3 linked regions of the Macaca mulatta genome follow. The protein of the gene in region 1 interacts with the protein of each later gene in a biochemical or structural test. Links are inferred from orthologs where the notes say so. Each region holds a gene or a part of one and is shown in the gene's direction. Other genes may lie near its edges.

Region 1 (10,098 bases):
CAATCTCAGCTCACTGCAACCTCTACCTCCCAGGTTCAAGCAATTCCTCTGCCTCAGCCTCTGAAGTAGCTAGGACTACAGGCACACGCCACCACGCCCGGCTAATTTTTTTGTATTTTTAGTAGAGACGGGGTTTCACCATGTTCACCAGGATGGTCTCGATCTCCTGACCTCATGATCCGCCTGCCTCGGCCTCCCAAAGTGCTGGGATTACAGGCGTGAGCCACCGTGCCTGGCCAATTTTTTTGTATTTTTAGTAGAGATGGGGTTTCACCATGTTAGCCAGGATGGTCTTGATCTCCTGACCTCGCGATCTGCCCGCCTTGGCCTCCCAAAGTGCTGGGATTACAAGCATGAGCCAGCGTGCTCGGCCAAGAAAGGGTACTTTAAATAGGGTACTTTGGGAAGTCTTCTTTCAGAGGACATTCGAGCTGAACCACAGCGAAGAGAATGAGACAGCCATGCAATTATCCGGAGGAAGCACATTCCAGGCAGAGGGAACGGCAAGTGCAAAGCCCTGCGGCAGAAATAAGCTGGGTGTGTTGAAAGAAGGGGAATAAAGCCAGCTGGGCTTGAAAGCAGTGACAAGAAGAATGGTAGATGAGGCCTGAGAGGTCAGCTGAGGCTACCACGCAGGGCAGCCTAAGCCATAGGAAAGATCTTAGGTTTCATTCTAAGTAGGATAAGCCTTTGAAGGTTTTAAGCAGAGTAATGACATGATCTGGTTTACAAGTGAAGATCATTCAGCCAGCTGTAAGGAGAATGCATCATAGACAGGGCCACTTTCTTCATTAGCGCCACGGAAATAATGCTGGTGGCTCATGAGCTTCTCAGGGGCTATGAAAAGGTCAGGGATAGGGATAAAGGGAAAAAAGTTCCACAATGCAAAGATAAAACTACAAAGTTGGAATGAATAAATATTTAAATAAGCATCTAGAAATATGACATCATGACAACTGCATTAATCATTAAATTTAGTATTCATAAGCAATCGAATTACATTTGGAAATTAGATTTTCTCAAATCACAAATATCCCCAAGTATGCAACGATTGCCAAGAAATCAAAGGAATCATAAATGTGAGCTTCCTTGAAGCCAAATAATTTCAAAAGAATATTAAAAAGCTTTCAATTTTTTTTAACAGCTAAAAAAATTTTTTCTTAATGTGAGATGTACACACCAAAAAAAATGGGCTAGGCGCTGTAATCTCAGCATTTAAAGACAAGATAGGTGAACTGCTTGAGGCCGGAAGTTTCAAGAGCAGCTTGGGCAACAGCGAGACCCTGTCTCTACAAAAAATTTAAAAAGTAAAACAGGCAGGGCATGGTGGCTCATGCCTGTAATCCCAGCACTTTGGGAGGCTGGGGCGAGTGGATCACCTGAGGTTAGGAGTTTGAGACCAGCCTGGCCAACATGGTGAAACCCCCATCTTCACTAAAAATACAAAAATTAGCCAGGCAAGGTAGCGTGTGCCTGTAGTCCCATATAGTCAGGAGGCTGAGGTGGGAGAATCGCTTGAAGCCAGAAGCAGGAGGGTGCAGTGAGCCGAGATCGCACCACCGCACTCCAGCCTGGGTGACAGAGCAAGACTCCCTCTCAAAAAAAAAAAAAAAAAAAAAAAAGTAAAACAAATCAGGCATGGTGGCACGCACTGGTGATCCCAGCTACTTGGGAGGCTGAGGTGGGAGGATCACTTGAGCCCAAGAGTTCCAAGTTACAGTGAGCCATGATCATGCCACTTCACTCCAGCCTGGGAAACAGAGCTCTGTTTAAAAAAAAAAAAAAAAATCCCACAGGAACTGGATTGTTTCCAGAGGTGACTAGGTAAGAAATACTAGTGCCTTTGATCAGTGCTATTCAGGCTTACGGCCTGTGATTTTGAACACTGTCCAGGGCACCCTTAGAAAGCCCTCTCTGGGGAGAGGACATTTGAACAGAGACTTGAATGACGAGAAGGCATAAGCCAGCCAAGAGCCCAGAAGAAGAGGTTCTGGGCAGAGCTTTGCACTGGGAGTGGCCTGTCAGATTTTTAACAAAAAGAGGGTTACTTAGGCTGGTTTGAAATTGGAGCTAGGTAGTTAAGAGGAGACAAAGCATAGTTTCGAAGACAATGCTCTCATCCTGAGAAGTGACCTGGTCAAATGTGTTTTTGACCTTCACTGTCCAGTAATACAGGAGCCACTTGTCACAGGGGTTCAGGAGCACTCAACTGTGGCTATCAAGACACCTAAACTGAACTTTCTTTTCTAAAATTTAATTTAATTTTTTTTTTTTTTTTTTTTTTGAGACGGAGTCTTGCTCTGCCGCCCAGGCTGGAGTGCAGTGGCCGGATCTTAGCTCACTGCAAGCTCCGCCTCCCGGGTTCACGCAATTCTCCTGCCTCAGCCTCCCGAGTAGCTGGGACTACAGGCGCCCGCCACCGCGCCCGGCTAGTTTTTTGTATATTTTAGTAGAGACGGGGTTTCACCATGTTAGCCAGGATGGTCTCGATCTCCTGACCTCGTGATCCGCCCGTCTCGGCCTCCCAAAGTGCTGGGATTACAGGCTTGAGCCACCGCGCCCGGCCTAAAATTTAATTTTAATTTTGAGAGACAGGATCTCACTCTGACACTCAGGCTGGAGTGCAGTGGCTGGAGCATCCTGGGCTCAAGAGATCCTCCTGCCTCAGCTTCAGGAGTAGCAGAGACTACAGGTATGCACTACCACACCTGGCTTATTCTTTTATATTTTTGTAAATATGAGGTCTTGTTATGTTGCCCAGGCTGATCTTGAACTCCTGGCCTCAAGAAATCCTCCATGCCCAGCCTCTAAAATTTAATTTTTTTAAAAAAAAGTAAATCTTGGCCGGGCGCGGTGGCTCAAGCCTGTAATCCCAGCACTTTGGGAGGCTGAGACGGGCGGATCACGAGGTCAGGAGATCGAGACCATCCTGGCTAACACGGTGAAACCCCGTCTCTACTAAAAAATACAAAAAAAAAAAAACTAGGCCGGGCGTGGTGGCTCACGCCTGTAATCCCAGCACTTTGGGAGGCCGAGGTGGGCAGATCACAAGGTCAGGAGATCGAGACCATGGTGAAACCCCGTCTCTACTAAAAATAGAAAAAATTAGCCGGGCGCAGGGGCGGGCGCCTGTAGTCCCAGCTACTCGGGAGGCTGAGGCAGGAGAATGGCGTAAACCCGGGAGGCGGAACTTGCAGTGAGCTGAGATCCGGCCACTGCACTCCAGCCCGGGCGACAGAGCGAGACTCCGTCTCAAAAAAAAAAAAAAAAAAGTAAATCTTAAATTAAAAAAAAAAAGATATGGCTGGGTACAGTGGCTCATGCCTGTAAACCCAGCACTCTGGAAGATCAAGGCGGGCGGATCACTTGAGATCAGGCGTTTGAGACCAGCCTGGCCAACAAGGTGAAACCCGGTCTCTACTAAAAATACAGAAAAAAATTTAGCTGGTTGTGGTGGTGGTCACCTGTAATCCCAGATACTCAGGAGGCTGAGGCAGGAGAATCGCTTGAACCCGGGAGGTGGAGGTTGCAGTGAGCCGAGATCGCGCTATTGCACTCCAGCCTGGGTGACAGAGCGAGATTCCGTCTCAAAGAAAAAAAAAGTGGTTTCCAAAAAATGTAAAATTAGGTGCGCGGCTGGCATTATTTTTCCACTGGGTAGAGCTGATCGCCCGTGGGGGCAGAGACTCTGCGACCTGGAGTCTCCCAGGCCGGGGGCGACGGGATGCGGCGGAGAGAAGTTTCCGGATGTATTGTGCGGTCATGAATCATGTCAGGGAATTGCCACTGCCCCCGTTGAATGGAGAGACGCTGCCTCAGGAGCTGAGTAGCAGAGCCCGGACTCGAACACTGGTCTGCCCCCGAACTGAAACTCCCATTTTCAGTACCGTCTGCTTGAAACCTTCCAAGAGCCCTTGAGGGGGCGAGAGCGGGATCCAAACCCCTCGGGGGCGAGAGCGGGATTCGAACCCCTCGTGGGCGAAAGCGGGATCCGAACCGGGCTGGACTCCCGAGGTCCCAGCGCGCCGCGTGACCGCCACTCCGAACGTTCGCAACGTTCACAACGGACTCCAGGGCCGCTGGACCTCAAGGGTCAGGAGCCACTCAGAAAAGCTCCAGACTACGCTCACCTGTTGACAGACGCTGAGGGCGCAACCCTCCTCCTCTTTTTTCACACTCGCCAGCACCGCGGCGGCGCTCGACTTCCGCTTCTCTCCAGCGAATCCCCAGCTGAGCCTCATTCTGCTCCCGGCACTATTACCAATCCAGCCAATCAACTCTCAGAAAACCCTCTTTATCTCCGCCCCACTCCCTCCTGCCAATCACTGAGGGTGCGAGCACCGCCCTTCCCGCCTTCTTTAGCGAGCGCCGCGCGCCACCGCTCGGCGGTTGGCGGCGCTGCGCGGTGCGGGATGCAGCTCCCGGAAAAGCGAGGCGAGGGGCGGGCTACGCCGGTGCGGGAACCCTCAGGATTGGGCAGAAGGAGTCCGGCGCTCTGACTCCGTCCACTCCCGCCGTTGACATCCGAGTCGGAGACGCTGGGGATTGGTTCCCAGCGGACACGCTAAGAAGCCTGGAGATGGTTTCGCCCTCCTCACACGCCGCGGAGAGGGAGCTCCGCTGATTGGTCCGGGGAGTCTGGGCGCGCGCCGACTGGCGCTCCAGGATTGGCTGAGGGGGTGCGCGCGCCGCCAGGGGAGCGTTGGCGGTGATTGGCCAGAGGGCGGAGGCCGGCTATTTGAAGGCGGTCCGCGGTTTAGGTGCGCACTTCAGTCCGCGGAGGGAAGAGGCGGGAGTGGACTTGGTCTGCCGTACCCCACTGACGCCCCCCCACTCACCGGACCCAGGCGCGGCCTCCGCCACAGCCACAGCCCTGCCCCTGCCCCTGCCCCTGCTGCGGCGCGGCGCGGCGCGGCGAGGCGAGGCGAGGCGAGGCGATGGCCAAGGTGTCGGTGCTGAACGTGGCGGTCCTGGAGAACCCGAGCCCTTTCCACAGCCCCTTCCGGTTCGAGATCAGCTTCGAGTGCAGTGAAGCCCTGGCGGACGGTGAGGCTGGGCCCGTGCGGGGACCCCCACCCCCGGGCCGACCCCGGCCTCCCCTTGGAGAAGCGCTCCCATGGCCAACTTGATCTCCCCCATGAAACCCCTCGTCCCCTTTCCGCCAATCCCGATCTCCGGGTGGAGACTCCCCGCCATCAGCCAACTCGGACCTCCCCGTGACCTCCTCTCCCACTGCCCGCCTTGACCTCCCGGGTGGAGACCCCCAGCTAGCTAACTCGGACCTCCCCGTGACCTCTTCCCCCACTGCCCGCCCCGACCTCCCCATAAAGATTAACCCCAGTCAAGCCCCACTTCCCGCGTGGGAAACCTCATCCATCTTTTTAATCTGGAGGTCTTCCTAGGTACCCGTTTTCATGGAGAGATCTTCTTGGCCTCCATTTCTTAAGCCACGGAGATCTTCAGCCACCGTGATTTCCCTGTGGCAAGACCCGCGCTTTAGCCACCCACCCATTTTTGCCCACTTATTCCCTCTTTAGTGAGATACTCACACCTCCCATTTTCCCTCTGGAGACTCCGAATGTCCAGCCCCTTCCCATTTTCCCCGGGGGAAATCCTAGCCATCTGCTATTTTCCCTATGGAGATCTCTCACGCAAGCTCCTTTCCCTCCTCACCGTGAAGACGCTCCCCACCAGTAACCGTTTTTCGCTGTGAAAACCCCTCAACCCCTTTTCAGGACCGCCCTCGCCCCCATCTTCCCATTTGTCTCCCACCAATCCCCTCCCCAACCTGCCAATATTTCAACAACCCCACCCGCACCAGTTGCTGTTGCTTTTCTGCCATTGCACATACCCTGGAACCTGGTTCCTCCTTCGTTGGGGCCCAACCCCTGCTATGCTTGAGCTCCCCCTGGGAAAGGATGCTACCGTCTTTGAGGGGAACTTGGTCTCCCCAGCTCCCCTTCCCCACCCTCTTCTGTGGACTTGGATAAACACACTGAGATCTGAGGGCTGGCATAGCCAGGCAGGTATTAGCTGCTTCTCCAGGTTTGCCCACCCATTTCCAACTGAGTTACTACAGCAGTTCTTCCCTCGCTTTTTCTTTCTTCTTTTTTTTCTTTTTTCTTTTTTTTTTTTTTTGAGACAGACTCTTGCTCTGTTGCCCAGGCTGAAATGCAGTGGCACGATCTCAGCAATTCTCCTGCCTCAGCCTCCCGAGTAGCTGGGACTACCAGCACCTGTCACCATGCCCGGTTAATTTTAGTATTTTTAGTTGGAGGCAGGGTTTCACCACATTAGCCAGGCTGGTCTCGAAGTCCTGATCTCAAGTGATCCACCCACCTTGGTTTCCCAAAGTGCTGGGATTACAGGCGTGAGCCACCGCGCCCGGTCTTTTTTTTTTTTCTTTTTTTTTTTTAATATAGCTGGATAATCAGTGCCAAGCTTCCATTGCTTTTGATGGTCTGACCTAGTCTGGAGGGTGAGTGGGTTGGGCTGAGCTGTGACAGGCTCCAGCTTCAAACAGTCACCTGGAGCCCGGAGGTCACAGCCTCCTGTACATCTTTTCCAAGGTGCTTCTGCAGATGTACTTGTTAATCTGTGTGACTTAAAGGTGGACATGGCTCTCATCTCACAGATGAGAAGACAGGAGCCACAAAGCGCAAAAGACCTTTCAAGTCAAGGCCTGTACAAATCCAAAATCTAAGGTCACCCAGGGAGCCTTGGCACCACTAAAATGCAAGTCCTGCTTTCAGAAAGAAGTACTCCATTAGGCCATTTTTCTACTTGGTGGTTAAAAGAGAAAAGGCAGTAGCCGAGGAGGTAGCGATCTGGGGGCCTGTGAAGCCAGGATGTGCTAACTAGTGCCTTTCGGGGGCAGGTGGGTGTTTGGCCCTCAAAGCTGGTCACCTGGACTAGCTTGGGGCTGATAGAGTGAGATGTGGATGTGCTTCGGGTAGGCCAGTGGGTCTCTCTCTCCCCGGTCTGTCTTGCTCCTTTTTAAATTAAGCAGTCTACTTGTGGCTAACTATAGAATAAGCCGAGTTAAATCCTTTCTGGAACAGGGCAGCGTGTAAATAAATAAATAAAGTGTAGAATGACACTGTGGAATAAGATTTAATTTAAAAGCCAGGAGGAAATGGAAGGAAGTAATAGGTTGAGGGATTCCCAGCTCCCAGGCGGCAGGAGATCAGGTTTCAATCAGCCTGTTTGTGTTCCTTGCATTTAAAAATGGTTGTGTGGTCATTATCTGGTACTTCTCCTAGGAAGCCCCTGCCCTGTGACTTTACTTATTTATAGAATTAGAGGCAGAAAGGCTAAATTCAACCTGCTGCTCCTTTTTTTGTTTTTTTGGAGACGAAGTCTCACTCTCGTCCCCCAGGCTGGAGTGCAGTGGCGCAACCTCCGCCTCCCGGGTTCAAGCAATTCTCCTGCCTCAGCCTCCCGAGTAGCTGGGATTACAGGTGCCTGCTATGACGCCCAGCTAATTTTTGTGTTTTTGGTAGAGATGCGGTTTCACCATGTTAGCCAGGCTGGTCTCGAACTCCTGACCTCAGGTGATCTGCCCGCCTCAGCCCCCCAAAATGCTGGGATTACAGGTATGAGCCACCGTGCCCAGCCTCTGCTGGTCATCTTTTAATAGAAATGGAGTGATTTATCCAGGGTCACCCAGCCAGTTTGTAGAAATATTGGCACTGAAGTTTTGAATCTAAGTTCTTTATCTTTGCTCCGATCCAGGGAAAGAAAGGAAGAAGGATTCCCTATTTCAGAGGTGGAGCATAGATAGGAATGACCATACAATTTATTGCCTAATCAGGATACTCAAAACACAGTAAAGGGGAATGCTATTATTATTATTATTATTTTATTTTATTTATTTTTTGAAATGGAGTTTCACTCTGTCACCCAGGCTAGAGTACAGTGGCGCGATCTCAGCTCACTGCAATCTCCACCTCTTGAGTTCAAGCGATTCTGTGGTCTCAGTCTCCCAAGTAGCTGGGATTACAAGCTTGAGCCACCATGCCCGGCTAATTTTTGTATTTTTAGTAGAGATGAGGTTTCACCATGTTGGCCAGGTTGATCTCAAACCTGACCGAAAGTGATCTGCCCGCCTCAGCCTCCCAAAGTGCTGGGATTACACTTTGAATCACAAGCACGCGGCCAGGGAATGCTATTGTTAATTGCACCCGGATGATAAAGCTTTTCCTTCAAGAAACTCAAGTGAGAAATCCTGGCTCTTCCAGTCCTAGGGCTCTCTGTGACTGATCTGCCAGCTTGCTTTCTGCCTCTTTCTGGCCTCCTCTCCATGAAAAAGAGAATCTGGCTCACTCTCAGCAGTGTCAACTGAAAATCTTGACAAAACCCCCAATCCAGCTGTGCGAGGTGGCTCATTCCTGTAATCCCAGCACTTTGGGAGGCTAAGGAAGAAGGCTCTCTTGAGCCCAGGAGTTTTAGGCCAGCCTGGGTAACATAGCAAAACGTTGTCTCTACAGAAACATCAAAAAATTAATGGGACTTGGTTGCATGTGCCTGTGGTCCCAGCTACTGAGGAGGCTGAAATGGGAGGATTGTATGAGCCCAGGAGGTCAAGGCTGCAGTAAGCCGTAAGCCATGGTTGCACCACTGTACTCCAGCCTGGGTGAGAGAGCAAGACCCCATCTCAAAAAAAAAAAAAAAAAAACCACCCTAACTCCTAAGCCCCAGTTGAGTGACTCCTATTTCTCAAGGGCCTCAAGCCCCCTTTGCACTTTTATCTTCCACATCTGGAAATAGATGCTTCCATGTTTAGCTGAGAAATTCAACAGACACTGGTTGAGTAAGTCATAGAAGCCAGATGTTCTGACCCAGAACTAACAAAGCTGTTATGGCAGCAGGACTGATCTTTGATTATGAACAAAGGCAAAAAAAAAAAAAAAAAAAAAACAGGCTGGGCACGGTGGCTCACGCCTATAATCCCAGCATTCTGGGAGACCAAGGCAGGTGGATCACCTGAGGTCAGAAGTTCAAGACCAGCCCAGCCAACATGGTGAAACCCCATCTCTACTAAAAATACAAAAGTTAGCCAGGCTTGGTGGTGGGCGCCTATAATCTCAGCTACTCGGGAGGCTGAGGCAGAAGAATTGCTTGAACCTGGGAGGCAGAGGTTGCAGTGAGCTGAGGTTGTGCCACTGCACTCCAGCCTGGGTGACAGAGCAAGACTCTGTCTCAAAAAACAACAACAGGCCAGGCACAGTGGCTCACGCCTGTGATCCCAGCATTTTGGGAGATCAAGGCAGGCGGATCATCTGAGGTCAGGAGTTTGAGCCCAGCCTGGCCAATGTGGTGAAAACCTGCCTCTACTAAAAATACAAAAGTTACCTGGGAAGGGTGGTAGGCGCCTGTAATCCCAGCTACTTAGGAGGCTGAGGCAGGAGAACCGCTTGAACCCGGGAGGTGGAAATTGCAGTGAGCCCAGATTGCGCCATTGCACTCCAGCCTGGGTGACAGAGTAAGACTGTCTCAAACAACAACAAAAACAAAAAAGCAGGAAGCAGACTCTTTAGCTAGTTCAGCTACAGTAATCATGTACGTGTCTTTAGTCTTATCATTTATATATATATGTACACACACACATACATACACACACACAGTGGAGGTATGTCTTGTACAGGGACTAGCTTGTGAAGTTAGCGCAGAGAGATAACATGGAACACAGTTGAGTTGCCTTGACATTGCTCAGAAGGTTAGATACACACCTCATGTGTACAGCTGTGTCCTGTACACAGTAGCTATGAGTTCGTGCTGTGTTGGTGATTTGTGTCCCATGTATAATTCTAAAGAAAGATTATATTCAGAAATGCAATCATACACATATGTCGCTACTTACAACACTGCAGCCCGATTTTTTTTCTTTTTTTTAAAAGAGATAGGGTGTTGGCCGGGCACAGTGGCTCATGCCTGTAATCCCAGCACTTTGGGAGGCTGAGGCAGGCGGATCACGAGGTCAAGAGATCGAGACCATCCCAGCTAACACAGTGAAACCCCGTCTCTACTAAAAATACAAAAAATTAGCCAGGCGTGGTGGCGGGCTCCTGTAGTCCCAGCTACGCGGGAGGCTGAGGT
Region 2 (9,598 bases), on another chromosome or scaffold:
GCGATTCTCCTGCCTCAGCCTCCTGAGTAGCTGAGATTACAGGTGCCTGCCACCATGACTAGATGATTTTTGTGTTTTTAGTAGAGACGGGGTTTCGCCATGTTGGCCAGACTGGTCCCAAACTCCTTATCTCAGTTGATTTGCCCACCTTGGCTTCCCAAAGTGCTGGGATTACAGGTTACAGGTGTGTGAGCCACCGTGCCGGGCCCCAGTTTCAAATCCTTTACTAAGTGGCCACTCTAAAAATATTTTCAATTAAAATCAAGCAGGGTGGATGTCTGTTATCAACATTATTGTTCTTTGTGGTGTTAGTGTGGGAAAAACAGGAAAATGAAATTACAAAGATCGGAAAAGAAGAGATAAAAATCTGTAATACGATTGTGTTTCTAGAAAATCCAAGAGATTTAAAAAATACTATTAGAACAGAGCTTGCAGTGAGCTGAGATCCGGCCACTGCACTCCAGCCTGGGTGACAGAGCGAGACTCCGTCTCAAAAAAAAAAAAAAAAAATACTATTAGAATTTTTAAAATAATTTGATAAGATGGCTGGATAGTGTAAAATATATAAAAATCTGTGATCTTTCGTCTATATTGGCAGTGAGTACTTAGAAATGGAAGGAGGAGAAATATTTTATTCATTGTAGTGCAAAGCCTGCAAAACACATGGAGTAAATGTATTTATTTATTTATTTATTTTGAGACAGGGTCTCACTCTGTCACCCAGGCTGGAGTATGGTGGTGTGATCATGGCCCACTGCATCACTGCAGCCCTGATCTCCTGAGTTCAGGGAATCCTCCCATCTCAGCCTCCCTAGTAGCTGAGACCATGGGCATGTAGCACCATGCCCGGCTAATTTTCTTATTTTTTTGTAGAGACAGGGTCTTGCTGTGTTGCCCAGGCTGGTCTTAAACTCCTGGGCTCAAGCAGCCTTCCCATCTCAGCCTTCCAAAGAGCTGGGATTACAGGTGTGAGCCACCACACCCCGGCAGAAGTAAATTTAATAAGGAAGGGGCAGGACCTTTATGGAGAAGCCTAGAAGGTCTTATTGAAGGTTATAAAACAAGTTCTGAACAAATGGAAAGATATATCATGTTCTAACAATTAACATACCAATTTCATTTCCAATTAGAATTGCATTAAAGTTTTTTTTTTTTTTTAATTGGATGAAATTTCAGCTTTGTTTAGTAGAATAAATGCTGAAGAATAGCCAAGGAAGTATGAAAAAAACCCAGTGATACTTGGTTGGGAGGGCATTTGCCTCGCCACATGTCAGAAGATACTATAACACTACTTTTATCCAATCAGTATGGTGTTGCTAGAGGACCAAACAAATAGATTAGTGGACCAGAACACAGAGTTCAGAAGAAGATCTCAGGATATAAGGCAATTTAATATATGACCTCAGGTACTGTTCCAGTGGAAAAAAAATCTGTTATTTATTTGTAATTAATTGTATGTTACTTAAATAATTCTCAAGAGAATTAGACACTGAAGGCAAATAGGACAAGAATTTGTCATTAAGAAGGCTGGGAAGTGTTGAGATTGGACAAAGACCTATTCCTCTTTTTTTTGAGACAGAGTTTCACCCTTGTCGCCCAGGCTTGAGTGCATTGGCGTGATCTTGGCTCACTGCAACCTCCATCTCCCAGGTTCAAGCGATTCTTCTGCCTCAGCCTCCCGAGTAGCTGGGATTACAGGCGCCTGCCACCATGCCCAGCTAATTTGTGTATTTTCAGTAGAGACAAGGTTTCACCGTGTTGGCCAGGGTGGTCTCGAACTCCTGACCTCAGGCGATCCACCTGCCTCAGCCTCCCAAAGTGCTGGGATTACAGGCATGAGCCACCACACCCAGCCTCCTCTCTTTTTTTTTAATTGACAGATGAAATTGTATGTAGTTGTGTATGACATGTTTTGAAGTATATATATGTTGTGGAATGACTAAATCTAGCTAATTAGCATAGCATGATCTCACATAATTAGGATTTCTGTGGTTTGAACACTTTATATCTACTCTCTTAGCATTTTTCAGGAATATAGTACATTGTTATGAACCATAATCACCATGTTGTACAAGAGATGGATCTTGCAAAGGGAGGACTCTGTTATTGAATGAGTAGTGCTGGGGTAGCTAGATATGTGGAAGAAGATAAAATTGGACCCCTTCCCTAGATATAAAAAATAAATTCCAGGTGAATTCAGTACTTAAACACAAAAGGTAAAAATAGAAAACTCTTATAAGGAAATATAGAAGGACATTCTACGAATGGAGAAGACCCAATTAAGACTGGAAACTGGCCGGGCGTGGTGGCTCAAGCCTGTGATCCCAGCACTCTGGTAGGCCAAGGTGGGTGAATCACCTGAGGTCTGGAGTTCAAGACCAGCCTGGCCAACATGGCAAAACCCTGTCTCTACTAAAAATACAAAAATTAGCCAGGCGTGGTGATGCACACCTGTAGTCCCAGCTACTCAGGAGGCTGAGGCAGGAGAATTGCTCCAACCCAGGAGGCAGAGGTTGCAGTGAGCCAAGATCACGCTAATGCACTCCAGCCTGGGCAACAGAGTGAGACTCTGTCTCAAAAAAAAAAAAAAAAAAAAAAAAAAGTGTATGTTCAAGTATGCTTATTGCAAGCATTGTTTATAGTGGTAAAAAACCAAAAGCAAATAAATACTCATTAACAGAGGTTGGGTGAATGAATCTTGCAGTAAATATTATGCAGCTACAAAAAAATAATGCATCAGTGCTATGCAAGTTAATTTTCATGAGTAGTGGATTGAAACTAGCAAAATAAGGAGAAGTGTCAATAATACCCTGCTTTGTAAAACAAATGGACTAAATAAAAAAAAATCCTCCGCCAGGCGCGGTGGCTCACACCTGTAATCCCAGCACTTTGGGAGGCCAAGGTGGGTGGATCATGAGTTCAGGAGATCGAGACCATCCTGGCAAACACGGTGAAATCCCATCTCTACTAAAAATACAAAAAGATTCGCCAGGTGTGGTGGTGGGCGCCTGTAGTCCCAGCTACTCGGGAGGCTGAGGCAGAAGAATGGCGTGAACCTGGGAGGCGGAGCTTGCAGTGAGCCGAGATCGTGCCACTGCACTCCAGCCTGGGCGACAGAGCTAGACTCTGTCTCAAAAAAAAAAAATCATAGAGGTATATATGTGATTGAGTTATAACTGATTGTAATGATTTTGTGAGCATGGGGGAAATATACAGATGACATAATGGTTTGTTGAATGTTAAAATGGATTTCTTGGGGATGGAAGAATGGAGTGGGATGAAAAGAGGGGCCTGGGTGCAGTGGCTCATGCCTGTAATCCCAGAACTTTGGGAGGCCGAGAAGGGCAGATCACTTGAGGTCAGGAGTTTGAGATCCCTCTGGCCGACATGGTGAAGCCCCATCTCTACTAAAAATACAAAAATTAGCCGGACATCGTGGCAGGCGCCTGTAATCCCAGCTAGTCAGGAGGCTGAGGCAGGAGAATTGCTTGAACCCTGGAGGTGGAGGTTGCAGTGAGCCAAAACCCAGTCTTGCCTGGGTGACAGAGCAAGACTCTGTCTCAAAAGAAAAGAGGGCAGCTATGTAGAATGTATTAATTAAAAAAAAAAAAAAAGACTATTGATACTGTCTACTGCCCTCCCTGGTAGATATGAAACGGTCATATGTAAAGTTATGTGTGTGTATATGTATCAAGAAATAATATAAAACAGGGAGATGTTAGTGTAAGAGCAGCAGTGTATGATGGTCACTCTGACAGGCCTGAACTGTTTTAAGTACAGCACGGGGTGAGTGGAGAAGAGCTCTCAGATGGAGACTGTTCCCCAGAGCAAAGTCAGGTTCTGAAGGAGGCTGGAGGTTTCAGCAGAGGGCAAGGTCTCCTGGCAGCCTCATGGCTGGATAGGGAAGTTGGGGAAAGGCTAGTCTCAGCCTTTGGATAGCATCCAAGGCTGGAATCCAGGGAATAGAGATGAGGGTCTTAGGGAGAAAGGAGCCTGGGCAGCTGAATCTAGTCACGGTGCATCAATCGAGGAATTGCCTGGAGGCTCAAAGGTGCCCTGTGGCAAAGGCTCACTATGTTCTCCCGGCCCAAGATCAGAACCGGGTCCCCAGGGACTGCCCACAGGTAGGTGGAGATGACAAGTAGGTAGAACTGGAGTAAAGGCCGAGACCAGACAGTGCTGGAATATTTGTTTTTGTGCTCAGTCACAACATTGTCTAGAGAATATAACTTCAGGGGGAGCTATTTTGCAAACCGGAACTGAAGGCTCTTGAGTTTCCGTTGGTGAACAGAATAGAACAGTTTGCTGAAACAGTGACTTTTCTTTCCTCTCCCTCCCTTCCCTGCTCCCCAGCTGGATGTGTGGAATCTGGTGAAAATGTAATGAATACCACTTATGTTTTCTCCAGGAAGAATCTTAAAAGGTATGCAGTCAAGGAAATGTTTGAAATATTTACCTTTATTTTAGTCGGAGTTTTGCTCTTGTTGCACATGCTGGAGTGCAATGGTGCGATCTCTGCTCGCTGCAACCTCTGCCTCCCGGGTTCAAGTGGTTCTCCTGCCTCAGCCTCCCGAGTAGCTGGGACTACAGGTGCCCGCCACCACCCCCAGCTAATTTTTCTGTTTTTAGTAGAGATGAAGTTTCACCATGTTGGCCAGGCTGGTTTCAAACTCCTGACCTCAAGTGATTCGCTTGCCTCAGCCTCTCAAAGTGCTGGGAATACAAGCATGAGTCACTGCACCCGGCCTGTATTTTTTTTTTAGTAGAGATGGGGTTTTGTCATGTTGGTCAGGCTGGTCTCAAACTCCTGACCTCAGGTGATCTGCCTGCCTCCTCCTCCCAAAGTGCTGGGATTATAGGCGTGAGCCACCGTGCCCTGCCGAAATGTTTACCTTTTATTTTTGCTTTCGCTGAGTCACAGTGCCTTTTCCTAACACTGCAATTAATCCATTAGGCCCATCGCTCATCTTCCGTGTCCTGGAAAAGCCACTCTTGCTGTTCGCTGCTGTCCGGTCTACTTTGAACTGAGGCCAGTGGTGGAAACAGGTATCCTCAGTGCCTCAGGGTGCATTATGTTTTCTCTCCGAAACGGGTCACCAGAGTGGGGTGGAGATTTGGATTCTGTCTTACAGGGAAAGGTGTGTATGTGGGTTTGGTTCAGTTCAGTTATTTTTAAAATATTTTATTTTTACATTTAAATCTATTTATTTATTTATTTTGAGACCAGGTTATGAGACTGGTTAATTTTTGTATTTTTGGTAGCGACAGAGTTTCAGCATGTTACCAAGGCTGGTCTTGAGCTCCTGGACTCAAGTGATCCACCTGCCTCGGCCTCCCAAAGTGCTGGGATTACAGGTGTGAGCCCCCGTGCCTGGCCCGGTTTAGTTATTCTTAAAAGCTGGAGCAAAGACTGAGGTTATCAAAATACATGTCAGTTTTTTTTTTTTTTCTTTTTTCAGGATTTATTTTCTTAAGGCACTTTAAAAGGAATAGCCGTACTCCTTTTGTTTGTCTATGTCTCTCATTATCACTTTTCTTTTCTCTTTTTTTTTTTTTTTGAGATGGAATCTTGCTCTGTCGCCCAGGCTGGAGTGCAGTGGTGCAATCTCAGCTCATTGCAACCTCTGCCTCCCAACCTGTCCTCCAGAGTAGCTGGGATTATACGCACACGCCACCACACCCAGCTAATTTTTGTATTTTTAGTAGAGACGGGGTTTTGCCATGTTGGCCAGGCTGGTCTCGAACTCCTGACCTCAGGTGATCTACCCACCTCGGTCTCCCAAAGTACTGGGATTATAGGTGTGAGCCACCACGCCCAGCCATTTTCGTTATGTTTTCTTGTGCTTGGGGTTCACTGAACTTCATAGACCTATCAGTTTATAGTTTTTATTACATTTGGGAGTTTCAGCCATTTTTCCTTCAAATATTATTTCTGTCATCCCCTTCTCTTATTCAAATACTCCCCATTGCACATGTGTTATATTAGGTCCTTTGAAATTCATTCCTGGCCTTTGATACTGCTTACTTTTTTTGTTTTTTTCTTCTTCCAGTGTTTGATTTTGGAAGTCTGTATAGCTGTGTTTTGAGTTTGCTAACACTTTCTTCTGCATGCCCTGCCCTTGGTCCCATCTGGCGTGTTTTTCGTTGTTGTGGTTCTCATCTCTAGAGGTTCACTTTGGGTCTTCCTTATATATTTGTGCCTCTCCACGCTCCATCTTTCCTCTTGCTGCTTTCTTTTTTTTTTTTTTTTTTTTTTTTTTTTTTTTTTTTTTGAGAAGGAGTCTTTCTCTGTTGCCCAGGCTGGAGTGCAGTGGTATAATCTCGGCTCACTGCAGCCTCCACCTCCCAGGTTCAAGTGAATCTCCCACCTCAGCCTCCCGAGTAGCTGGGATTACAGGTGTGTGCCACCACACCCAGCTAATGTTTTTATTTTTGGTAGAGATAAGGTTTTGCCATGTTGGCCAGGCTGGTTTCGAACTCCTGACCTCAGGTGATCTGCCCACCTCAGTTTCCTCTTGCTTCTTAAGCCTATAGAATACAGTTATAATAGCTCCTTTAATGTCCTTGTATACAGGTTGGTTTTGATTTTTTTTCTCCTCCTTGTGGGTCATATCTCCCTGTTTCTTTGTTTGCCTGGTACTTTTTGATTAGATACCAGACACTGAATTTGACCTTAGTGGATGCTGGATGTATTTTATTCCTATAAATATTCTCTTTTTTTTATTTGAGATAGAGTCTTCCTCTGCCGCCAAGGCTGGAGTGCAGTGGCACAATCTCAGCTCACTGCAACCTCCGCCTCCTGGGTTCAAGCGATTCTCCTGTCTCAGCCTCCTGAGTAGTTGGGACTACAGGCACACACCCGCATGCCTGGCTAACTTTTGTATTTTTGATAGAGACGGGGTTTTGCCATGTTGCTTAGGCTGGTCTCAAACTCCTGAGCTCAAGTGATCCACCCAGCTCGGCCTCCCAAAGTGCTGGGATTCTAGGCGTGAGCCATTGCGCCCGGTCAGAAGCCTTGTTTCTGTGGTTTTACTTTGTCTCTGTCCCCGACCCCCAGGTGTGGAGCTGATGACTCTGCCCTACCGCCTCGTGTTTGCTGTGGCCTCGGAGGACTCCGTGCTTCTGTATGACACCCAGCAGTCCTTCCCTTTCGGTTACGTGTCTAATATACATTACCACACGCTCAGTGACATTTCATGGTGAGTGGCTGCTAAGGAGGGAGAGTGAGTGAAGGAGCCCATGGCCATACCCTGGAAGAGACCCTGGGGTTAGGGAGCATTTCGTTACTAAAGATGGCTTTGGGGGACATATTCACCAATTTTGTTTCTTATTTGCTTTTTTGAGACCAAGTATCACTCTTGGCGCCCAGGCTGGAGTGCAGTGGTGTGATCTCGTTTCACTGCAACCTCCACCTCCCAGGTTCAAGTGATTTTCATGCCTCAGCTTCCCAAGTAGCTGGGATTACAGGTGTGCACCACTACGCCTGGCTAATTCTTGTGGTTTAGTAGAGATGGGGCTTCGCCACGTCGGCCAGGCTGGTCTCAAGCTCCTGGGCTCAAGCGATCCTCCTGCCTCAGCCTCCCAAAGTGCTGGGATTACAGGCATGAGCTACTGCACCTGGCCCAATTTTATTTTTTAAAGGAATCAACATTAAAAGGAAAAGCCATTTCTAGTTTGCCATAATACTTGCTTCCTATTTTCACACTGGTGGGTTTTGATGGCATTCAGATTGCCTTGTGGGGTTAACTGGACTCTGATAAACTGAGCGGAGGCCCTGTAGACTCCCTGGCCATCTGGGGATTCCTGAGGCCCTCTGGGAAGAAGCCCTCCCCTGCATGTCCCTGCTGCCCAGGACAGGGAAGTGCCCCGAGCTGGGCCTGTCTAGAGAATGTCACTCACCCCTGCCCTTCCACCACCTTTGGGTCCCCAATTCAGCCCCCGCGGCTTGCTTGGCTCAGTGTGAGTTTTTTTTTTGAAATGGAGTCTCAGTCTGTCACCCAGGCTGGAGTGCAGTGGCACAGTCTCAGCTCACTACAACCTCTGCTTCCTGGGTTCAAGCGATTCTCCTGCCTCAGCCTCCCGAGTAGGTGGGATTATAGGCGCCTGCCACCATGCCTGGCTAATTTCTTTGTATTTGTAGTAGAGACAGGGTTTCACCAGGTTGGCCAGGCTGGTCTTGAACTCCTGACCTCAAATGATCCACCTGCCTTGGCCTCCCAAAGTGCTGGGATTACAGGTGTGAGCCACTGTGCCCGGCCTATTCAAGTGCAAGTTGCTAGTAGCACAGATAGGTTGCAGTGACTTAGCAAATCGTGATGAAACTGCATGAGTGAGTTGCTATCACACACTCTTTTCCAGTCGTATCTTTTCCCTGGTCTTTGCCTTCAGACAAGCTTGTGATTTTGCTTGAACTTCCCTCTTCTAACTAGATGTGAGAGTGTTGGTAAGGTCTGTAACTTTTCCCTATTTTGGGGATGAAGGTCCAGCGATGGCGCCTTCTTGGCCATTTCTTCCACGGACGGTTACTGCTCGTTTGTGACATTTGAGAAAGATGAACTTGGAATTCCTTTGAAAGAGAAGCCAGTTTTGAGCATGAGAACTCCTGATACAGCAAAGAAAACCAAGAGTCAGACACATCGAGGGTCTTCGCCAGGACCCAGACCAGTAGAGGGAGCCCCTGCCAGCAGAAGCCAAGACCCCAGCAGCCCCGGCACAACCCCTCCTCAAGCCAGACAGGCCCCAGCCCCAACAGCCATCAGAGACCCTCCCTCCATCACTCCTGCTGTCAAAAGCCCCTTGCCGGGGCCTTCAGAGGAGAAGACCCTGCAGCCCAGTAGTCAAAACACAAAAGGCCACCCATCCCGGAGGGTCACTCTGAACACACTGCAAGCCTGGAGCAAGACAACGCCCCGGTAAGACCTTGTTGGAACAAGTTGTCATTGCAAAATGAAACGTGAAATGCAAACAGAACGCTCCCACCCTGCCGCAGGTGAAATTCCAGGCGGCGAATACTTCATGCCAGTAGGTTGCCAGAGAGATTCTTAACTTCAAATCCGAGAGTGTCATTTCTTGCATATAGGCCTGTTTGTTCCTTCAGTTCCTGCCTGTCAGATAAAGCCCAGGCTTGTGATTTGGCTGCAGCCTGTCATCCAGGACTGTGGCCACTCTCTCTCCTGAGTCCATGGCCTTCATCTCTAGCCCAGTCCTGAATGTCATCTTCCCAGAGCACACTCTGCCCTTTGAGGCTTCTGTCCTTCCCTTCTCTGGGGAAACCCTGTACCTCTCTTCCTCTTGGTGACACCAGGAGTCTTCTGAAAGACCCATGTGAATGTAGCCTCTCTGTTTGCAGGCTCTGTGGCCCTTCAGCCTTTCCCTTGTCACCACACATCAGATTCTGTAGCAGGTGCTTTGATGCTTCAGTTTCCCTGCTGGTTATGAGCCCCCAAGGACAGGAAGCAGAGCCTGTGTTTTATTTATGCTGTCCTGCCCAGGATGTAGGCAATTCCAGGAGTGTCTTCCTGAGACTCCGTTTGATGTCTCCAGCAGTCTGGTCCGTGAGAAACGGGGGTCCTGATCTCATAAATAATCCCCAGGGAGG
Region 3 (10,371 bases), on another chromosome or scaffold:
GGTACAGAGACATAAGGGAGTTGAGAAAAGCTTCAGAGGTTTTCAAAGTGGTTTCCAGACCATCATTGGCCAGCCTCACCTGGGAAGTTGTTAGAAATGCAAATATCAGCTCCACCCCAGACCTGCTGAATCAAACATTCTGGGGGTGGGGCCCAGCAATCTGTTTGAACAAGCCCTCCAGGTGATGATGATGCAACCTAAAGTCTGAGAATCATGTTGAGGTTGGAAAACTACGTTGCAACCAGCAACCTGTTTTTGCAAATAAAGTTTTATTGGAATATATCCATAATCCTTCTTTCAGATATTGTTTGTGGCTATTTCCCTTTTAAACAGCAGAGTTGGGAGTTACGACAGAGACAATACGGCCTGCAAAGCCTGATTCTGCCAAATAACTAGACTAGATTTCCCATACAGGGAGCATAGCCTAGATTTTTTTTCTTTTTTCTTTTTTTTTTGAGACAGAATCTCACTGATAACGCAGGCTGGAGTACAGTGGTGGGTTCTCAGCTCACTGCAACCTCCACCTCCTGGACTCAAGTGATCTCCCAACCTCAGCCTGCCAAGTAGCTGGGACCACGAGCATATGGCAACATGCACAACTAGCTTTTGTATTTTTTTTTAAAGACGGAATTTTTTTTTTTTTTTTTTGAGACAGCGTCTAGCTCTGTTGCCCAGGCTGGAGTACAGTGGTGCGACCTCAGCTCACTGCAAGCTCCACCTCCCTGGTTCACGCCATCCTCCTGCCTCAGCCTCCCAGGTAGCTGGGATTACAGGTCCCCGCCACCATGCCCAGCCAATTTAAAAAACATTTTTAGTGCAGACAGGGTTTCAGCATGTTGGCCGCAGGGGGGCTCAGTCTCCTGACCTTGTGATCCACCCGCCTTGACCTCCCAAAGTGCTAGGATTACAGGTGTGAGCCACTGTGCCCGGCCCAATAATTATTTTAAATAATTACTTTTATTTTATTATTATTATTTTTGAGACAGGGTCTCACCCAGAATGGAGTGCAGTGGTGCCATCTTAGCTCACTGCAACCTCCGCCTCCCAGGTTCAAGTGAATTCTCCTGCCTCAACCTCCCAAGTAGCTGAAAGTACAAGCACGTGCCACTACGTCCAGCTAATTTTTATAGTTTTAGTAGACACAGGGTTTCATCATGTTGGCCAGGCTGGTTCGAACTCCTGGCCTCAAGTGATCCACCCACCTTGGCCTCCCAGAGTGCTGGGATTACAGGAGTGAGCCACTGCGCCCAGCCTAAATTACTTTAAAAAATGGGATCATAGGCAGGATACGGTGGCTCCTGCCTGCAGGCGGGCAGATCACTAGGTTAGTTCCAGACCAGTCTGGCCAACATTGAGAAACCCCATCTCTACTAAAAATACAAAAAATAAGCTGGGTGTGGTGGTGTGCACCTGTATTCCCAGTTACTTGGGAGGCTGAGGCAGGAGAATCACGTGAACGCGGGAGAAAGAGGTTGCAGGGAGCCGAGATCGCGCCATTGCACTCCAGCCCGGGCGACAGTGCGAGACTCCGTCTCAAAAAAAAAAAAAAAATTCCTCTAGCCCAAATCCCTCCATCACAGAAGCAGTTGGAGGAGCTTGAAAAGGTTAGGTAACAGGCCCATGAGGCTTGTCTGTGGAAAGAGCTAGGCTGCAAGACACCTCTGACTCCGTTGAGGGCTTTCTCTTACTCTCCTTTCCCTATTTAAGACATTAAATCATTTAAGACAGTGTCATTTGGTCCGGCACGGTAGCTCACGCTTGTAATCCCAGCACTTTGGGAGGCTGAGGTGGGCGGATCACCTGAGGTGATTGGAGACCAACCTGGCCAACATGGTAAAACCTAGACTCTACAAACAAAAAAAAAAACAAAAAACATATATATATAAGCAGGGCGTGGTGGCACGTGCCTGTAATCCCAGCTACTCAGGAGTCTGACGCAGGGAGAACTGCTTGAACCCAGGAGGCAGAGGTTGCAGTGAGCCAAGATCGCACCACTGCACTCCAGCCTGGGCGACAGAACGAGAGTCTGACTCAGAAAAAAATAAAGTTTTAAAAAGGCAGTGTCATTTGATGGAGTTGCTTTCTTGATCGTTGGCTGCAATTAAAGACCTACCCTCACTGGCTTTTGTGTTGCCTTGGACGGGCTCTTAGGTTCTCCCGCCCTATCAGGCAGTAGAGGCTGGCCTCGAGTGGTAGTCGTCCATCTTGCCCTCTCTTCCTACCCTCTACCCCCCACCCCCTGGCTGCTCTCCTCTCTCCTTCCAACACTATTCTCTTTGGGAATATGCATGTCCAACTTCCCAAGCAGTCTGGGATCTGGAGTAAGACGACTCTTGGTTTAATGGAGTTTTTCCACAGCGCTTGAATGTGCCCCAAGGGTTTGGAAGGTTGGAGAACTAACAAAAAGCAAAGCGCCATCCTGTGTCGTTTTGGCAGGTCTGTGTTTTGGTAATATATGGAAGAATTTAGAGAAGAACGAAGAAATAAGGACAGAAACTCCACTTGGGAGTACTTGTTTAACCCTGAAAAAGTTCAAGGCTGTTGTTCAAGGTCTGAATTTTCCCCTTGAGATTTCGCTTGTAGTCCTTAAAGTCATCTTCCGACATCTGATCAAGGCAGCATCCGCGGAAAATTATAAGGTGGGTGGCTGCACCGGAGACTGTCCTGGCTCAGGGGAGCCGGTGAAGAGTGTGATTTTTTCCCCTTGGCGCTGCGCGATCAGAGTGGGTGCCCTCTGCTATGCAGGAAGCCCTCCTTGCCCACTAGATAGTTCTCATTCCTCAGGAGATATTCTGTCAGGGGCCGGCGTGTTTCTCCGTCTTGGCACTTACCCTCAGACCCTCCTAAGTACCTGGGAGGGCCGTTTTTTTCATCGGAGGTTGAAATGGAACCTCTCCCTGGGTGCCCGGGGACAGTGCCTTGGGGGCAGCGCCCCTCCCTCCGGAGGGCAGCATCCCGGCGGGGGCGGGGGCTCGGCTTTGATCCCAGGGCACCTTTTGTCCCTGGAGACGCTCTGCTAGCCAGGTACGTGGAGTGCAGCCCGCCCTCCGGGGCGCCGCGCGGGGCTGGGGTGGGCCGGCTGCTTCGGGGAGTGGCGGCCGCGAGTCCGCGAACGCAGGTGGGCGCCGTCGCTTCACTAACCGGGCGCCTCCGGGAAGTCCGGGTGGGGTCCGCCGCTCGCACATAGGATTAGCGTCTTCTAAACTCCATCCCTGGGAAAAGCCGCCGCACTTCTCACCCAAACTCGCGGAGCCTAGGGGTTGGGCTGGGGTTGGGAGGGCGCGGGGGCCGGCGAGGCAGATCCAAGAATGGGTGGACCTGGGCGGTCAAGCCCCTCCAGCGCCGGCCCCACTGCCCCGGCCCGGGCAAGTCCAGCGGGGCGGGGACCGGTGACAAAGGCGGCGGCAGGTCCTCCAGGCCTCTGGCCTCCGGCAGTCGCAGGGCGCCCCCGGCCGCCAGACCTCCCCTCGCGTCGCGGCCAGTCCGCCGGCGCCGCCCGTCACCCGCCCTCAGCCGCCCGGCGAGGCGCGGCCTCCTCGGTCGGCGCGGGGTCCCCTGGTTAACCCCTGCCCGGCAGCGCGGCCGCTGATTGGAGGAGGCGGGGCGCCGGGGCAGCGGGGACCCCCCCCAACCTTCCTCGTCCCCTCCCCCTCCTCCCCCACTGTCGGCGCTTCCCCCACCCCCCCCAGGACCCCCCCCTGCCTCCCAGCCGTGCAAATCTCGCGAGGAAACACGCGGTTTCACTAGTGTGTTTACACCGATCACTACTAATCCGGACCGAACCGATCCGGATTAAGGGGCCGGAGGCGGGTCCTGGGCACCAGCGGTTCCGACCCCCCCCGCCCTCCGCGCCGCACCCGAGTGGCCCCCAGCCGAGCGGGCCCCCACCTCCTGGCCCGGCCTGGGCCCTCCTGCGCCTCCCTTGGCCTTTGTCCGGCGCCAGGAGGCCGGTCCCGCGCCCCCCGCGGCCGCCCGGGCCCGGGCCCGCGTCGGGCGCCTGGCTCTGTACGCGAGCCCGGGGATCTGCGGCCTTCGTGCCCCCCCTCCCCCGCCCGCCCTCTCGTGGAGCCGGGCGCCGGCGGCGGCTGCCCGGGCGGGGGGTTGCGGCGTTCAGGAGAGGCCCCGGCTCCGCCCCGGGCCTGCCCAGGGGGAGAGCGGAGCGGCCCGCAGCCGGGTCGGGTCGGGGCCCCTCCCGGGAGGAGCGTGGAGCGGCGGCGGCGGCGGCAGGTGAGAGGCTGAGCCCCGGGCGGGGGAGGGCGCCAGGCCTGGGGCATTAACCGTCCCAGGGACCCCTGTGGCCTGAGGAGCCTGCGACCTGGGCCCCAGCTCGGGGCCGGCTCCGGACCGCAGCTCCTGGGCGCTGAGGCGGGAGGGGCTCCCTGAGGGCTGCGGGTTGCCGAGGGGCCGGGCCGAAGATGGGGGAGGCCCAGGCGGCCCTGGCCTGGGATTGGGGCCGGCGGCCGGAGGAGAGACGGGGGCGCCCCGGCAGCTGGAGGCCTCGGCAGCCTCCCGGGCGCCCCCGAGAGCCGGCCCTCCCTTCCTCCGTGACAGGTGGGCCTGGAGTTGGGGAAAGTTTGGAGCCGGCGAGGGGCGCCGGGACCAGGCCCCGTCGCCCCTGCTTCCCGGCTGTTGGCTGCAGGGAGGATCCCAGTCCAAGGCCCCGCTGGAATTAGACGGAGTGGCTATTTCCTTAACATGAGTTGACATTAAACGGAATAACCGCCGGGGCGTCATTTTCCGGGCCGGGCCTGGGGATGGATAGGTTTGGGAAATGTTGCGAGAGACCTTGGGGTTTGGGAGAGACTGCAACCTCTGCCATTCCGACCTCGATTAGGGCAGGGCAAGAGGCGAGGAAGGCCACGGGGGAAACTCATTCCCCCAGTCTTTTTTTTTCCTTCTTTTTCTTTTTATAAAGATGCATTTCAACCTTTCTGAGAATTTCCTAATTCTCTCTCTAACCTGCACTTGCTTGTGTGGGTGAAACTTTAATTTGTCACCTTTTCATTCCCCTTTGCCCCAGGCTCTCAATCCAGGAAGGGAAATGAAACTGAAGGACTTGTAAGGGGGTTGTTACTGGAGATTGTGGAGTTGTTGGATTGCAGAGGAGAATGTTCGATTCATTTTTTCAGTAACTTTAAAATCACACCAACCATTCCAACTACTTAATAATGTGTTCGAAGGGGTTCTATGTAATGATGTATGCTTCTTTTCCACTGTTAATTTTAAAGGGAGGTTTTCAATGGGTCGTGTAGGAGTTGGTCTCTTGCAAAGGATGGACATATTTGTTGAAAGTAGCCTGTGCATTAATTGGTTATGGAAGTTTAAAAATGGTGTCCTCCTGCCCCTCCCTGCTTGGAAGAAGGGCTAAAAGCAGATGTCCAGAATCAAGAGAAACCTACTGCAGGGAGTGGTCAGAAAACGATTTTTTAAAGGGATTGTTATGGAGCTATATTAATTTCCTGAGTGAATGGAGGTGGATGGTTTCACCGTGGGCTCTCTATTAAATTTAAAATAATTAATTCCTTTTCTCATGAGCTACTGTGAGCTCTTCAGAGAAAGGAGCTGTATTATAGTGTTTTTGCAGTTATTTGTAGCTTCTGATTCATCCTATATTCTTTTGAAATTATTGTCAATGGTTTATATTTTTAGTTTAAGGACTATTTCCTGAGTGGGAAATAAATATCTGAAGATACTTAGCTAGATTCGAAGGCTGATAGAAGGAATTTTCTTTTTGCAGGCTAGTTCTTGTTTTGTTTTTTCCCCTGTGCTCAACTTTGTTACAGAGATTATATGAAGGGTTTGAGGGGTTTATTTTTGCTGTTAAAATCAGATCAGAACTAGGGAAGAATAAGTGACTGTCATAGAAGAGGACTTCTGAGCTGCTTTAGATGTTTTAAATGTATTACTGTTTGATGCAGCACATAGTAGTCTACCACTCGTATGCTGTATTTACTTGAGATTTAACTGCATTTGATCATTCAGTGAAATAATTACTATGAGTTTTGTTCTACAAAAAATTGCCGCCTCACATATTAGTATTTATGGTTTCACAGCCTACTTTTTTCTTTTTCAGTAGAAATGATGGAAGAATTGCATAGCCTGGACCCACGACGGCAGGAATTATTGGAGGCCAGGTTTACTGGAGTAGGTGTTAGTAAGGTGAGTAAAATGATGATAATGAACACTATTCATATTCTGATTTAAACACATTTTTTAAATGATTAAGAGCAACTTGGGTAGGCCCTTCTGATAGTTTGCAGAGGAGATGATTTGGGTCTTAATTTCAATGAACTTTTAGGTCCTACTAGTCATTCCAGTAGTCATTTAACATAGTAGGTTTGAAAATGTTCTATATGGGAATATATGTTTCTTCTTCCTGGCTGGTATAGGAGAGGTTTCTCATGGTTCTTGTTACAAGGAAACTAACAGGATGTGTGTATAGATTCTATGCCATATTTTGTTAAAACTTGTCAGTCATTCAGAAAGAAAATTATAAAGCATTGCATAGCTTTGTTACATTGGACTTTGGAGGTAGTTACATGGTAGAGTTTTGAAAAATTGGCCTCTGTGAAGTCTGCAGACTCTTTACTGGTTGCACCCTCAGACTGGTTTGTTGCTCTTCTCATTCTTCCTTCTTAGTTTTTATTTTTGTTGCAGGAGCATAATATTAGATTAGGCCCCCATTAATGGGCACCTATGAAGTTAAGCAATGTTACAGTTTCCTATGCGTGCTTTTGTACCCACTGGTCCACCCCTCTGCTCTCATAGGATGATTTTACAATGTGTAAAATGTTTGATTTTAATGCAGTATGCAAAGTATATTTACAATATTTTATTTAAAAGCTTCATTGGTCCAAGATCACATTCCTTGGGCTTGAGGTGTGTGAATGTATGAGCTATTGAGTTTTTTTTTTTTTGAGACATAATTTTGCTCTTGTCGCCCAGGCTGGAGTGGAATGACGTGATCTCAGCTCACTGCAGCCTCCGCCTCCTGGGTTCAAGGGATTCTCCTGCCCCAGCCTCCTGAATAGCTGGGATTACAGGCGCCCGCCACTACGCCCAGCTGATTTTTGTATTTTTAGTAGAGACTGGGTTTCACCATCTTGGCCAGGCCGGTCTTGAACTCCTCCCCTCAGGTGATCCACCCACCTCGGCCTCCCAAAGTACTGGGATCACAGGCGGGAGCCACTGTGCCTGACTGAGCTTTTGATCTTTAACCAATGTGATACAACATTTCTTTCTGTGCTTTTCAAGAAATCCTGTCTCATGGTAACCTGGGTGTTGATCTCGTGCTCAGTTAATAGCTTCTCCAAGGAGAAGGCGTGTTGAGGTTTAGTTGGAAAAATGGGCTTCTTTGATGGGTCTCACATTTTGGTGAGCTGGGATAGCTTGATAGGGTTTCGTTTTTTTTGTTTTTTTTTTTTTTTGAGACAGAGCCTTGCTCTGTTGCCCAGGCTAGAGTGCAGTGGCACGATCTCGGCTCACTGCAACCTCTGCCTCCCGGGTTCAAGTGATTCTCCTGCCTCAGCATCCTGAGTAGCTGGGATTACAGGCATGCACCACCACACCTGGCTATTTTTTTTTTATTTTTAGTAGAGACGGGGTTTCTCCGTGTTGGCCAGGCTGGGTCTCGAACTCCTGACCTCAAGTGATCTGCCCGCCTTGGCCTTCCAAAGTGCTAGGATTACAGGCATGAGCCACCGCACCCAGCCAGCTTGATACTTTTTGTTTATTCAACAAATATTGAGCACTTGCTGTATGCTAGGCATTGTGCAAGATATTAGGGCTGATGCTTGAGCACAGTACCTCCACATCTGCAGTTTGGGGAGAGCGAGATGATACCGTGATGAGATCTGTATTACAGCTGTAACAAGGTGCTGTGGGAACACAGGATTTGTTACATATTCTTAATTTCTTTGGCCACTTAGACAGTTTTACTTTTGTGGCACTTTAGAGTGGCTGTACTCCTGGACATTGTATATTGAAGTTGCATGTACAAATGTAAACTCTCTGATCTAGGTGAAGTAGCTTCAAGTAGAAGTGAGCAATGTATTTGAATACTAAATTGATCTCTAAATGACCTCTGATTTGTCTTTTCACTTGAAGATTGAGCATAAGGCTAATATCCAGATCTGTCTGTTTAAATGGTCCCCCGACACCCCCCCTCCCCCATCCTGTAAGTCAGTAAGTTTGTATTCAAATTGTACATAGTTTAAGCTCACTGATCTTTGTCATTAGGGTTGTTGTTCTGTTTTTAGGTTCTTGATGACTGTATCCAAGTATACTTTTGATGGAGTGGGGCATAAGTGATAAGAATGAGTGACATTCAACATGTTGCTGTCTAGCTCCAGCTTAAAATCATGTAACTAAGGTATCAGAAAACTTTAATACAGTAGCCTATCTGTTTAATAGAAAATTCTGCCTTCAACATAGAAAGAAGTTCTCTGTACAGAAAAAGAAATTTACCTATTTCCAGTTTTTTTCTTTGTTTTTGAGAGGGTCTCACTCTCTAGCCCAGGCTGGTGTGCAGTGGCAGGATCTCAGCTCACCTCAACCTCCACCTCCCAGTCTTAAGTGATTCTCCTGCCTCAACCTCCCAGATAGCTGGGATTACAGGCCTGCGGCACTAGCACACTGTTAACTTTTGTATTTTTAGTAGAGATGGGATTTTACCATGTTGGCCAGGCTGGTCTTGAACTCCTGACCTCAAATGATTCACCTGCCTGGCCTCCCAAAGTGTTGGGATTACAGGCATGAGCCACTCACTGCACCCAGCTTTATTTCCAGATGTTTTTATTCCATTAGTTGTTTGTTTGTTTGAGACAGTCGCTCTGTCGCCTAGGCTGGAGTGCAGTGGCACAATCTTGGCCTCCTGCAATCTCTGCCTCCCGGGTTCAAGCGATTCTCCTGCCTCAGCCTCCTGAGTAGCTGGGACTGCAGGCACCCGCCACCACGCCCAGCTAATTTTTGTATTTTTAGTAGATGGGGGTTCCACCGTATTGTCCAGGCTGGTCTCGAACTCCCAACCTTATGATCTGCCTTTCTCGGCCTCCCAAAGTGCTGGGATTACAGGCGTGAGCCACCATGCCCGGCTTCAGTAGTTGTATGTTATTTTGATATTTCCAGTCATGGTTAGTATTGTTGATTACAATGAATTTGTTACTTGAGGACTAGCAGGAGAGTATTTTTTTTTTCCATAACAAAGAAACTTGAAGAAAAAAATTAATTCTGTAGTTTGCAGAGCTGGGAAAATAAAATCTCCATTTTGTATGACTTCTTTTTTTTTTTTTTTTTTTTTTTTTTTTGTGCAACGGAGTCTCGCTCAGTGGCCCAGGCTGGAGTGCAGTGGCCGGATCTCAGCTCACTGCAAGCTCCGCCTCCCGGGTTTACACCATTCTCCTGCTTCAGCCTCCTGAGTAGCTGGGACTACAGGCGCCTGCCACCTCGCCCAGCTTGTTTTTTGTATTTTTTAGTAGAGACAGGGTTTCACCGTGTTAGGCAGGATGGTCTCGATCTCCTGACCTCGTGATCCACCCGTCTTGGCCTCCCAAAGTGCTGGGATTACAGGCCTGAGCCACCGCGCCCGGCCTTTTTTTTTTTTTTTTTTGAGACAGAGTTTCACTCTTGTTGCCCAGGCTGGAGTGCAATGGTGCAATCTCAGCTCACTGCAACCTCCGCTTCCTGGGTTCAAGCAATTCTCCTGCCTCAGCCTCCCAAGTAGCTGGGATTACAGGCACGTGCCACCATGCCCAGCTGATTTTTTGTATTTTTAGTAGAGACGGAGTTTCACCATGTTGGCCAGGCTGGTCTGGAACTCCTGACCTCAGGTGATCCACCTGCCTCGGCCTCCCAAAGTGCTGGGATTATAGGCGTGAGCCACCGTGCCCAGCCTTTGTATTACTTCTTTTACCAGTAAGACATTGTACCTCTCAGACTGTTGATTTGAAATGGGAGTGTGGAGGGGATGATGATACTGGGAGAAAAGGGTGTTTTTGGAAAAACTCCTCTCCCTGGCTTTGAATTCTCATTTCGGATCCTTATTTCTCAATGAGAATATCACACCGTGTTAGGGCCGAGCACAGTGGCTCACCCCTGTAATCCCAGCACTTTGGGAGGCCGAGGCAGGCAGATCATGAGGTGAGGAGATCGAGACCATTCTGGCTAACACGGTGAAACCCCATCTCTACAAAAATATACAAAAAATTAGCCAGGCGTGGTGGCGGGTGCCTGTAGTCCCAGCTACCCAGGAGGCTGAGGCAGGAGAATGGCGTGAACCCAGGAGGCGGGGCTTGCAGTAAGCCGAGATCGCACCACTGCACTCCAGCCTGGGCGACAGAGCAAGACTCCACTCCGTCTCAAAAAGAAAAAAAA

What was found.
Region 2: the proteins of ASF1B (region 1) and CHAF1B form a complex in vitro, tested with the Homo sapiens proteins (2 studies listed by BioGRID and IntAct). The link is inferred for Macaca mulatta from reciprocal best matches to the Homo sapiens genes ASF1B and CHAF1B.
Region 3: of the proteins of ASF1B (region 1) and TLK2, one has a biochemical effect on the other in vitro, tested with the Homo sapiens proteins (3 studies listed by BioGRID). The link is inferred for Macaca mulatta from reciprocal best matches to the Homo sapiens genes ASF1B and TLK2.

The regions. Positions count from the first base shown.
Region 1 is NC_133424.1:14,718,906-14,729,003, reverse strand, and holds the start of ASF1B (histone chaperone ASF1B), read left to right. Parts: upstream 1-4,324; 5' UTR 4,325-4,937; coding exon 4,938-5,046; exon of another isoform or gene 5,047-5,146; intron 5,147-6,389; exon of another isoform or gene 6,390-7,384; intron 7,385-8,625; exon of another isoform or gene 8,626-8,923; intron 8,924-10,098. UniProt on the Homo sapiens protein: Histone chaperone that facilitates histone deposition and histone exchange and removal during nucleosome assembly and disassembly. Cooperates with chromatin assembly factor 1 (CAF-1) to promote replication-dependent chromatin assembly.
Region 2 is NC_133408.1:11,017,508-11,027,105, reverse strand, and holds part of CHAF1B (chromatin assembly factor 1 subunit B), read left to right. Parts: intron 1-4,353; coding exon 4,354-4,423; intron 4,424-4,954; coding exon 4,955-5,046; intron 5,047-7,057; coding exon 7,058-7,199; intron 7,200-8,480; coding exon 8,481-8,912; intron 8,913-9,598. UniProt on the Homo sapiens protein: Acts as a component of the histone chaperone complex chromatin assembly factor 1 (CAF-1), which assembles histone octamers onto DNA during replication and repair.
Region 3 is NC_133421.1:72,254,068-72,264,438, forward strand, and holds the start of TLK2 (serine/threonine-protein kinase tousled-like 2), read left to right. Parts: upstream 1-4,386; 5' UTR 4,387-4,415; coding exon 4,416-4,551; intron 4,552-4,822; exon of another isoform or gene 4,823-4,915; coding exon of another isoform or gene 4,916-4,973; intron 4,974-5,356; exon of another isoform or gene 5,357-5,410; intron 5,411-5,717; exon of another isoform or gene 5,718-5,737; intron 5,738-6,073; coding exon of another isoform or gene 6,074-6,076; coding exon 6,077-6,159; intron 6,160-7,398; exon of another isoform or gene 7,399-8,765; intron 8,766-8,808; exon of another isoform or gene 8,809-9,345; intron 9,346-10,311; exon of another isoform or gene 10,312-10,371. UniProt on the Homo sapiens protein: Serine/threonine-protein kinase involved in the process of chromatin assembly and probably also DNA replication, transcription, repair, and chromosome segregation. Phosphorylates the chromatin assembly factors ASF1A and ASF1B.